3 linked regions of the Caenorhabditis elegans genome follow. The protein of the gene in region 1 purifies or fractionates together with the protein of each later gene. This does not show direct contact. Each region holds a gene or a part of one and is shown on either strand. Other genes may lie near its edges. The genes, in order: mcrs-1, ruvb-2 and T16G12.1.

Region 1 (3,754 bases):
CTTGTTCTTCAATTCCCATTGGTACGTATTGTCCTTGCTTGAGAAGCTCGGTAAGACGGACTCCTCTGTTCAAAAGTTGTTGTGTGGAGGCATCGAGATCAGATCCGAATTGGGCGAAAGCAGCGACCTCACGGTACTGAGCTAACTCGAGCTTCATGGATCCGGCGACTTGCTTCATGGCCTTGGTTTGAGCAGCAGATCCTACACGGGATACAGACAGACCGACGTTGATGGCTGGTCGTACTCCCTTGTAGAAGAGTTCAGTCTCCAAGAAGATCTGTCCGTCAGTGATGGAAATGACATTGGTTGGAATGTAAGCAGACACATCTCCGGCTTGAGTCTCAATGACTGGGAGAGCGGTGAGAGATCCTCCTCCGAGGCTGTTGTTCATCTTGGCGGCACGTTCGAGAAGACGGGAGTGAAGGTAGAAGACATCTCCTGGGTAAGCCTCACGACCTGGTGGACGACGGAGAAGAAGAGACATTTGACGGTAGGCGACGGCTTGCTTGGACAGATCGTCGAAGATGATGAGAGCATGTTTTCCGTTGTCACGGAAATGCTCTCCCATGGCGCATCCAGAGTATGGAGCCAAGAATTGGAGTGGAGCGGCATCGGAGGCGGTAGCAGACACAACGATGGTGTAGTCCATGGCTCCGGCGTCAGTGAGACGCTTCACAATCTGGGCGACGGTGGATCTCTTCTGTCCGACAGCGACGTAGATGCAGAAAAGCTTCTTCTTGTCGTCTCCAGCGTCGTTGAATCTCTTCTGGTTGATGATGGTGTCAATGGCAATGGCGGTCTTTCTGAAATTAATTGTTTAATAATTTTAATTAAGATTCGAGAAAATCAATACTTACCCGGTTTGACGATCTCCAATGATCAATTCACGTTGTCCACGTCCAATTGGCACAAGAGAATCGACGGCCTTGACTCCAGTAACCATTGGTTCGCGCACAGACAAACGTGGGATGATTCCTGGGGCCTTGACTTCGACACGAGATCTTCTGGCGTTGGCAATTGGTCCCTTTCCGTCAATTGGGTTTCCGAGGGCGTCAACAACACGTCCGAGAAGACCATCTCCGACTGGAACGTCGACGATGGCTCCGGTACGCTTGACGATGTCTCCTTCTCTGATGACCTTATCGTTTCCGAAGACGACAACTCCGACGTTGTCAACGTCCAAGTTCATGGCCATTCCCTTGATTCCTGAGTCGAACTCAACCATTTCTTCGGCCTGGATGTTCTTCAATCCGTAAACGCGAGCGATACCGTCTCCGATGGAGAGAACCTGAAACGAATAAAAATTAAAAAAAAAAAGCTTAAAAACGACGAGATAATCACCTTTCCGGTCTCCTCAAGGTTGATTCCAGTCTCGGTTCCGAGAATTCTCTCCTCGAGAATCTTGGAGACTTCGGATCCGGAAGCTCCGGCCATTCCGCGGGCGGTGGTGGCGATTCCGGCATTTTGGACCTGAAAAATGCAATTAATTAGAATTAATAATCAAAAATCAATAATTGAGCCGTAAATGTTGATTTAAGGGCATAATATCCGAAAAAAGCTCACAGCAAAAAAATTTAAAGTGGCAAATTAAATTTTCAAGCCTAAAAACAACATTTTCGGGTCAAATTCTGCGGAGAATTCGATAAAACTAACCTTGACGGCGGTGTTAAGAGCGGTAACAATGCGTTTGGACAACATCCTCAACGGGTCTGCTCGGAAAAAACGAATTCCAAAAGCAAAAGTAAAACCGAAGCTGCAGTTAAGGCGGCTCTCCCTGATGGGCGGTTGGGGGAATGCAGGTTGTCTGGTATACGGTAGGTGTTGGCATGCTGCCAAGTGTCTCAGTGGGGCGCGCTTGCTGACTCTCGTTTTTAGTGAACATTTTTTTTTAAAATCGATTTTCTCAATTTTTCGCTTGTTTTTCTTGAAAATTAAATTTTATTTCTTATTTCATCATTTTTAAAATAAAATTTCCTTTGATTTAACTGCAAAAACTTCAGGTTTGTCCCAAAAATGGCCGATAAACTCGACGAAATCATCGACAAGGTCGCCTCCGGCCAGCGAAAAAAGGATACAATAGAAGACACAGAAGAAGAAGGGACAAGGAAACGAAAAATCGAACAATTTGAGTGAGTGTTTCGACATTTTAATTAAAATAATTGAATTTTGCTCTAAAAAATGAATTAAATTACATTTTTCAGAGATATAGAGCGTCCCAACGAGCTGTCAGGATTTAAGAAGCAAAAAATTGAAGAAAACTCGGAGATACATGTGAGAAATCTCAGGAAACCTGATAAATTTCCATAAAAAATTAGATTTGATTTTTTCAGGCGGAAGAAACTGAAGAATCAGTGGAGGCCCAAATGGTGATGAAAAAGCCGTCTGAAGAGCCGGAACTGAAGCGGAGAAAGGTTAGAATTGCGGGGAAGATGCTGAAAATCCAGGATTATCCTCAAAAATATCGAATTTTCCTCGAAAAACCCCCGATTTTTTACAGATTCTCATTCACATGGAGCCCTCAATCACGGAAACGAACCCAATGAGGATCTGGACCGTCGCCGACGATCTGGCGCTTCTCACCGCCGTCGCTCACGTTCAATGCATCCGTTTCATCCACAATTCGCTGACATTTTCGCGAAAATTCACATTTTCCGACGTAGAAGAGCGTTATTGTCAGCTAATGTTCGACGAAGAAATATCAAAATCCGCAAAAGTTCGACTTGACGCCATGCCACATCGTTTGAAAGCTCAAATCGAGGCGAGGACGCCATTTACCAGGAATGAGGAGCGCACTCTTATGGAATTGGCGGAAAATCAGCTGAAAAACGCCAGAAAAGAGCGACAAGACGTGGAAAATCACACAGTTTTGACGATTCTCCATTTTAAGAAGATTTTAGACGGAAATCGGTATGGAAAATCGAAATTTTCCGCCAAAATTTGCCTTGCGGAGCTGATTGTTCAGCTTGGAAGCACCCAAAAAGCTAAAAAATCTGTGAAAATTTGAATTTCTAGTTGCAAATTTTGATTTTCTTCTAATTTCCACCGAAATATTGAAGTTTTTCACGCAATTTAAGCTAAATTAAGGTCTTTCTAGGTAAAAAAAAGAGAGATTTTCAGAAAAAAAAACTGATTTTTAATCCAAAAATTCAATTTTCTTCATATTTTTTAGACAATTATTAATTTTTTAGGGCCTCTTTCGACAAAAATATCAGATTTTCAAAGAAAAAACGTTAATTTTTAGTTAAAAACTGAATTTTTTCAGCCAAAAATTGATTTTTTCTCGTTTTTTCTTCTAATTATGCCAAAAATTCGAAGATCTAGGATTAAAATATCCAAAATATTGCAAAATGAGCCGATTTTTCAACTGAAATCACACAGAAAAACTAAATTTTCTATTAAAAATCAATTTTAACTGTAATTCTCTTTTTTTTGGCACTTTCCCAAAGAAAAACGCTAATTTTCCGTGAAAATGTGAACTTCTAGTTGAAAAGTTCGTTTTTCTTCATATTTTTAGTCGATTATTGATTTTTTCACGCAATTTTCTTTAAATTAGGCTTTCAGTAGGTGAAAAGAATTGATTTTCATAGAAAAAACCCCCTAATTTCCAATAAAAAGCAGACTTGTGTCGGTCATAAATCGATTTTCTGTAGTAATTAACGTCTTTTTGAGACTTTCTAGAGAAAAATTGTCATAAGTTAGCTTGAAAAGCCTCTAATGTTCAGATTTTGCTCAAAAAAGCCTTAAATTTTCACTC
Region 2 (3,754 bases), on another chromosome or scaffold:
ATTAACATAAAAATTACCAAAATTAACCTTTATAAGTGCTGAAACATTTTAGAAATACCACAGAGTACCTTCAGCATCTGGAAAATTCTGAGGGCTCCAAAATTTAAAAACAAGTTACATCCAAATAATTATATATTTAATTTGCAGTTTTCATGATTTTTTATTCAAAATTTAAACGCATACATGTCTTGTAAGTTAAAATTAGTAATCTTAACAGTATAAAGGAAACTTTAAATGTATAATAGTACTCATAGATAATATACAGTATCGCAACTTTAAAAGATATCCATTTTTCTGAAACCACGTTATTCTGATCTTTCACACATTTCTTCAAAACTTTGTGAACAGTTTGACTGAATTAATTAAACATAATGGCTTGAATGCCATCTCCGTCTGTTTCAACAGATATGAATCTATTCTTTCACAAATCCACTGCGTCATTCAGGACTTCATTTATCTTCCTATTGATTCTTCAATTCACTCCGATTAAGTTTTACTATTTGATGAAAGTTCAACTTCATCGTCATTTGAATTATGTGCTCTCTTTATTTCTGGTATTATTGTTTCTGATTTATGTATTCTCAAGAACAGACTTACATTTAAACAGTGTCTAATGTTGTTTTGTGTGAATTGCAATGAGAGTTTATAATTTTTGTGACTAATTTTCATTTTGACCTTTGAAGAAATAAACGATTTTTTTGTTGTTGGGTTATTTTTATGTGTATAGTAAAATTGAAATGATTTGCTTCTTAATATTTTTGATACCGTATATTCTCTATTAGTTCGGCACCCCCAATTGCTCAACTTTGACAGCTTATATCTCGGATTTAAGCCAAAAATTTCAACTAAGAACATCTTTGTTAAATCTTTTTCTTTTTCTATGTTTTTCATTTTTCGATATCTTCAAAAGCGTGCGAGTTACATATACGCTATTAAAATAGAGCGGTTGAGGTGCCGCACTAATAGAGAATATGTGGGATATAGAGCTCTTTTCGAATGTACAGCGTATCTGTTAAATTTCTGTGATAGTTTTTGAAAATTAGTTTCTGAAAATGAAAACTTATAAGTAGGTTACGATAGAATCATGGAATCGACTGCTACAGCACTTTCCGAAAGTTTGAATTCAGGATATGCAGGATTTCTACCAAAACGTTCCACCGCCTCGGATTTAATTCTCTAAAATCGTATTTCCTAGCCAGAAAAAAGACTTGCCACGTGTAAGCGAGAAGACAAGGCAAAGGCTTGATAGCAATCTTCGCTTCTAAGCATATGCTTTGAAAACCCCGCATACAGCCTCATCGTCGCCCTCATTTCTCTTCCAAATGGCTAACATTGTACCTATTCATAAATCTTTAGAGTATTCACTGGTTGATGTACCACTTCTTTGTAAGAATGATGATCCGAATGATGAGATTGTGATCTATAGCAAATATTCGAATTCAAGAAGATTTATTGATTGGGCTCTTGTTATCACTGTGGCAATTACAGCATGCTATTCCTTATTCACATTGAGCAAATTTTATCTTTGAATTATTGGGAAAAAAGGTTTTGATTGATTTCTTTTGGCATTTTAATTAATTTCTTCAGAAATGATCCCGGCAATCGAACTTGAACATTCTGGTAAAAAAAGAGCATCTAAGTATTCAATTGCGCTTTTTTTCTATATTTATCTTTTTTATAATTGGTTTTATACATAAGATTTTATAAGTTCTGATTTTTTTAATTGATAAAATAAATACATTTATTTATGCTCGATTGATCAAATTTGAAAACATTTTACAAGGCTCATAAAGATTAAATTAATTTTCTTTAATATCCAGTCACTTTCAAAAACTTGACCGACCAAAATAACTTTAAATGCTTAATTTATAAATTTTTTTAAAATTAATTTATCCAACTCCAGATCACGTTGCTATATAATTAGAGAGTGAGACGCAGAAAGTGCGAGTTGACGCACTTCTCGTGCCCCTTGATTGACGCTTTTTCTGTGGTTGGCGCGTTTCGTGCGCGCGATTTTCGAATTTTAGGTTCACTTTTTCCGAATTTCAGCAAATTTTCAGCTTTATATTTCAATTTCAGACATCAAAATGGCGACATTGGACGGAATTAATGTGAAAGATATTGTAAAGGTATTTTGTTGCTCATATATTCAATTTTTGTGTTCAATTTAGCATATTTTCTAATAAAATCTAGGTTCAATTGCATTACAGTATATTTTCCAGGTTGAACGCACCTCCGTACATTCACATATTACTGGTCTAGGTCTTAATGATCGTTTAGAAGCTGAATATGTGTCTGGAGGAATGGTCGGCCAGGTTGCCGCTAGACAAGCTGCAGGACTTATTGTCAAAATGATTCAGGTAATGTTTTCTGCACAAAAATTCAAAACTAAAATTGCTACTATATTTTTTAGGAGGGAAAAATTGCCGGACGTGCTCTTCTTGTGACAGGAGAGCCTGGAGCTGGAAAGACTGCTATCGCCATCGCAATTTCCAAAGAACTTGGTGAGGACACCCCATTTGTCAGTATTGTCGCTTCAGAGGTTAGTCTAATGTTTTTTTTCAGATTAATAAATATCTTTTTTAAATTTCAGATTTATTCAAACGAAATCAACAAAACAGAGGCACTTACTCAAGCTTTTCGACGTGCTCTGGGAATTCAGATTAAAGAAGAAACTGAAGTTTTGGAAGGAGAAGTGATCTCGTTGGAAGTTGATCGGTCAGCAAATGGAATGGGACCAAAGGTCGGAAAACTCACAATGCGTACAACTGATATGGAAACTATCTACGATCTTGGATCAAAAATGGTTGATGCGTGTCTGAAAGAGAAAGTGATGCCCGGTGATGTTATTCAAGTTGATAAGGCTTCTGGTGAGAATTTTATTTAATCAAAAAACTGAAAAATTATCGTTTTTAGGACGTGTTACTCGACTTGGCCGTTCATTCAACCGTTCCCACGACTATGACGCAATGGGTCCAAAAGTGAAGCTTGTTCAGTGTCCAGATGGAGAAATTCAAAAGAGACGTGAAACTGTTCACACAGTTTGTCTTCACGACATTGACGTCATCAATTCTCGTACCCAAGGATACGTGGCACTCTTCTCAGGAGACACTGGAGAGATCAAAGCAGAAGTGAGAGATCAGATTAATAAGAAGGTTTTGGAGTGGAGAGAAGAGGGAAAAGCAAAGTTTGTACCAGGAGTATTGTTTATTGATGAAGCTCATATGCTTGATATCGAATGCTTTTCGTTCCTCAACAGAGCCATCGAAGGCGAACTCAGTCCCTTGATTATCATGGCCACCAACAGGTTTGCAAATATATTTTTTTTAATATTGAGTTTTTAATTAAATATCTTTAGATTGATCGAAAAAGTGCGTGGAACAGATGTCGAATCTGCTCATGGCATCCCATCTGATTTCCTTGATCGTATGCTCATCATCAACGCGATCCCATATACTAAAGAAGATACAGCAAAGATTTTGTCAATTCGATGTGATGAAGAAGGAGTCAAGTGAGATATATCTTTTAAAAACGCTCCACCGGCAATTGGAAACGCTCTGTCCCCGATCCATGGGTCTTGTTAGGAAAATGGCGACAAAACCGTGAATTCAAACGTTTTTCGATCAGCTTCGCAGATTTCGCCAAAATTTAGGCATTTTTCCGATGTTTTAGTGGTTTTTTGAGCTGAATGAGGTTTTTTTTATTTGACTGAATTTTATTTTATCAGTCTGCATAAAAATCACTAAGAAAAACT
Region 3 (3,754 bases), on another chromosome or scaffold:
AATGCGATAAATCGCAATTTGACTTCAGCTAATCCTAGAAATTGCATCATCTGTCGACATAAAATTATCTAAACGCGGAAGGGAGGGCCGAGCAGAGACATTGAGCCTAGATTTCAGATTTTGACTGAATTTTTAGCACATTTTATGACGAAGCAAAGGGAATTGAGCTGAAAACGACGAAAAATGGGTAGTTTCATCGAGATTCTTCAGAGAAGGATGCTCCGGGGGGAGATTCTCTTCAGAATCGAGTTTACGCAAGATTACGCAAGATTTTTTGACCAATTTTAGCTATTTTAACGCGGAAAACTCGTGATTGAGAGCGATAAAAGGCTAATGATACCAGTTGCGAGTGTGATAATCGAATTGGAATCAAGATTACACGTAGAAAATCCAGATTCGTGTGTGAAAAAACGAAAATGAATTGGAGGACGACAAATATTCGAAATTCGAGCGGGAGAGTCGAAATTTTTTCGAAAATTGACAAATAAAACCAGATTTTGAGCATGATAGAGTCAAAATTTAGCTTTTTATGACTGTAAAGATCCATTTTCGAATGGGATAGTCGAAAATGAACCTAGAAAAGGCGATAATTGAAAGAAATCGACTTACCTCTGACCGCTGGAAGCCGCGCCACGTGCCTCCCTGACTCTGGATCCGTTTCCGGCTCGGAACTTAGTGATTCACGAGCCGGTTAGGTCGATGCACCAATGTTGACACCCGCAGTCGCTGGGGAGTCAGACCCAACGGGTGAGAACGGCGAAATGTGTGTTCGCGCGGAGGACACGGAGCTTGAACGAACGGCGGATGACGATGAGCGGTGCAGAGGGAATAACAGTACACTTTTAGATAAATCCAAGTTTATTATTGAATAAATAAATGGAATTATCAACGGGAACAAACGGATGACGTGGGGACGGGTGGCATCCGTGGTGAAACGTGTGAAGACTGAATGAGTTGGCCTAAAAAGGCATCTGAATATTTGTGTGGATTTACGGGAGTACGACGCTCCGCAATAACGCGAGTGTGCGGGGGGGGGGGGCGCACTTGCATTAGGAAATACGCAAATGGCGGTAATTCAAATAATAATATTTAATTAATTAAAGAATGGAATGTTTCTGAGTGAACGAATGGAACAGAGAGTGAGCGACTCATGCGGATGGTGATTGTGGGTTCGTGGGTGAACCTGACCAAGCGCCTATATCCGCAAAGTTGGGACGGACGGGCTCTGCGGAGCCCAAGTGACAACATTTATGGGGTTTTTGAACTACTATAAAATATCTTTTAAAAAAATGCCCACTGATATTTTTCCATCATTCACTAAATTTTTAACATGAAGTAATTATAAAAAATTGATGACTTAGCACTTGAACCAGTCATCAGTGAGACTAAAAGTCATTACTATCTTTTGATTACTAGAAACTCTGGAAGGAGAACCAAAAAATCACATCATAAACCATAAATTGGATTTAAATCGGTTTTGCGGTATTTGCGAACATTTGTTTTTAAAAACTGTAATCTTCATTAAATGCTCTAGAGATTCTCCAGCATCACTACCGATTCCCCAATTAGCGGACTCTGTCCCGAACTGACATTTTGGGAATTAGTATTAAAAGTGTGTCAAAAGTGATAAAATTGATAATTAGGTTTGTCATCTCGTTGTGATGTCACATCCCAGAAACCGATAAGGAAAGTACAGTGGCTGCTGCGTGCTCCGGAATAGGGAGAGCAAACTCAAAATTTCAAAGATAAAATCGCGAGAGGATTGTATAATCTACTCTTTTCATTTCGTGTGCTGCCGACTACGAAATGCGGCGGAAACTGCTTCTCTTACTTTGTTTTATTGGGCTCTTTAGCTTGATCTCCACTGCTCCTGCACCGAATAATGTTGGTTTGGAATCTGAATTCACAGGTTTGTCTACTTTTTAATAATGACGCTAGACTGCACATTCCCCCATAATTTGAAAAATTGATACTATATGTGCTTACAAAAAGTTAAACTAGGTGCGAATTTCCCTTGTGAATTTTGAATTTCTATGTGAAGCTGAGAATGTCCCACTCAACAAGCTACTTGATCTCCAAAATTGAAAGTAATCTAACGTGAAAATGTGAGAATTTTGGCATTTTTTATTGCCACTATGGCTCACTGAGCCGTTAAAGCTAAGCTTGTTACAAAATAGACTAGAAGGAACAATATAGTAATTTCTCATTTCAGAGGGACATGCTGAAACTATAAATTTGGAAGAAGTCGAATTCAATCATCCATCAATCTTGCCGGAACACCCAGATAATTTTAGACAGGATAAACTTGCAGCCAGGTTATTTCTTTTTTAGTTCAAAATCAAAATATTTAAAATCAAGTTCTTAAATTTACAGTATTTTAATTTTGGTGAAAAGTGCAAAAATTATTGAACATATAATTACACTACTCTTTGCCTCATTTGAGTTTGGAATCGTAATTTTTTTACTACGACGTAAAATGGTTTTGGCAAAAAAAGTTGTTATAGAACAAAAATCACTCGAAACATTGTTTTCAAATGTTCAATTTTATTGCAAAAATTGATAAGAAAAGTTTCGTAAAGATGCCGTATCTTGCATGTGACAGCTATCAACTATTCTGAAATTTTTATTCTAGAACTCATTGTGCTCTGAAAACATAATCATTACAAAAAATAATGAAAAATGAATTTCCAGAAAACGCCAAAGCCTTTATGTAACAAAAACACGTCTCCCACCAAATCTGTATGCCATTGACTATAGTCTATGGTTCCAACCATACTTCCCAAGCCCTGGAGTTCAATATGCACCAGGTACTAAACTTTTTATTACTTTTTCGAATGATGCAAGTTAACATCAGTATTACAGAGAAAAACTTCACATTCGACGGAAGAGCATCGATACAAGTGGAAGCATTGGTCGCATCGGACAGATTCATTCTGAATGCCTATAACTTTAAAATTCAAAGCTACAAAGTGGTTGATATCGATGGAACTGTAGTGCCAATCAACTCAATTTGTAAGGAATTGAACGTATATTGATAAAAAATACAAGAAAAGATTTATAGCACAAGATGACACTACGCAACAGTTATCACTGATTACAAATGCAAATGGTGTGGTCGCTGGTCAAATTTACAACATCGAATTTGTCTACACCGGTATTATCAATCCATACACGGATGGAGGGGTTTACTACACTTCATATAATGATCCACAAGGAAATACACAGTAAGGGGAAACAATGTAGAAAAGTGGTGGCGAAATTCTGTAACTTTGTGCAAGTAAACTCTCCAGAAAACATACAATTTATTGTTAGATTAAGAGTATATCGGTTAAGGGAGCGACCTCTGCTTTTTAAAAACTCGAAATTGGAAAATAAAATTCTAATTAAGAGTACCGTACTTTGACAGATTGATTATTATGTAGTCGATTTGCCGAAATTTTTGAAGCTCTTTTTTTATCGCTCATCACTTGTTAAATGTTTTGGGCAACATAATTGTCGAATTGCCAAGGTAGGCATAAAACAACATTTTTGGGGCCTGCCACCTACGTGTCTATAAAAAACACTGAGCCCAGCCAGTGCTGATATACTTCAAGAAACGATAGCTGAAGTCAATATTTTCACACTGATTTCTTGATTCGACTCAACCTCTTTTTAGCTACATGATTGCTACACATATGGAACCGTTCTCCGCTAGAAAAGTCTTCCCATCTCTTGACGAACCATCTTACAAAGCGGTAAGTGTTACAGAATAATC

What was found.
Region 2: the proteins of mcrs-1 (region 1) and ruvb-2 fractionate together in Caenorhabditis elegans (co-fractionation; one large-scale study listed by BioGRID). This does not show direct contact.
Region 3: the proteins of mcrs-1 (region 1) and T16G12.1 fractionate together in Caenorhabditis elegans (co-fractionation; one large-scale study listed by BioGRID). This does not show direct contact.

Annotation. Positions count from the first base shown.
Region 1 is NC_003279.8:12,650,334-12,654,087, reverse strand, and holds the start of mcrs-1 (FHA domain-containing protein), read left to right. Parts: upstream 1-2,000; 5' UTR 2,001-2,013; coding exon 2,014-2,129; intron 2,130-2,201; coding exon 2,202-2,271; intron 2,272-2,330; coding exon 2,331-2,411; intron 2,412-2,497; coding exon 2,498-2,907; intron 2,908-3,754. Other genes in the region: atp-1 (ATP synthase subunit alpha, mitochondrial), read right to left, coding at 2-803, 858-1,288, 1,342-1,470, 1,654-1,698.
Region 2 is NC_003282.8:6,917,732-6,921,485, reverse strand, and holds the start of ruvb-2 (RuvB-like 2), read left to right. Parts: upstream 1-2,079; 5' UTR 2,080-2,087; coding exon 2,088-2,129; intron 2,130-2,222; coding exon 2,223-2,360; intron 2,361-2,413; coding exon 2,414-2,542; intron 2,543-2,593; coding exon 2,594-2,870; intron 2,871-2,916; coding exon 2,917-3,307; intron 3,308-3,358; coding exon 3,359-3,511; intron 3,512-3,754. Other genes in the region: T22D1.18 (Transposase), read left to right, coding at 1,323-1,529. UniProt on the Caenorhabditis elegans protein: Possesses single-stranded DNA-stimulated ATPase and ATP-dependent DNA helicase (5' to 3') activity suggesting a role in nuclear processes such as recombination and transcription.
Region 3 is NC_003281.10:10,047,796-10,051,549, reverse strand, and holds the start of T16G12.1 (Putative aminopeptidase-2), read left to right. Parts: upstream 1-1,692; 5' UTR 1,693-1,806; coding exon 1,807-1,909; intron 1,910-2,212; coding exon 2,213-2,315; intron 2,316-2,691; coding exon 2,692-2,807; intron 2,808-2,862; coding exon 2,863-3,012; intron 3,013-3,061; coding exon 3,062-3,224; intron 3,225-3,655; coding exon 3,656-3,734; exon of another isoform or gene 3,735-3,754. UniProt on the Caenorhabditis elegans protein: Putative aminopeptidase which plays a role in oocyte maturation.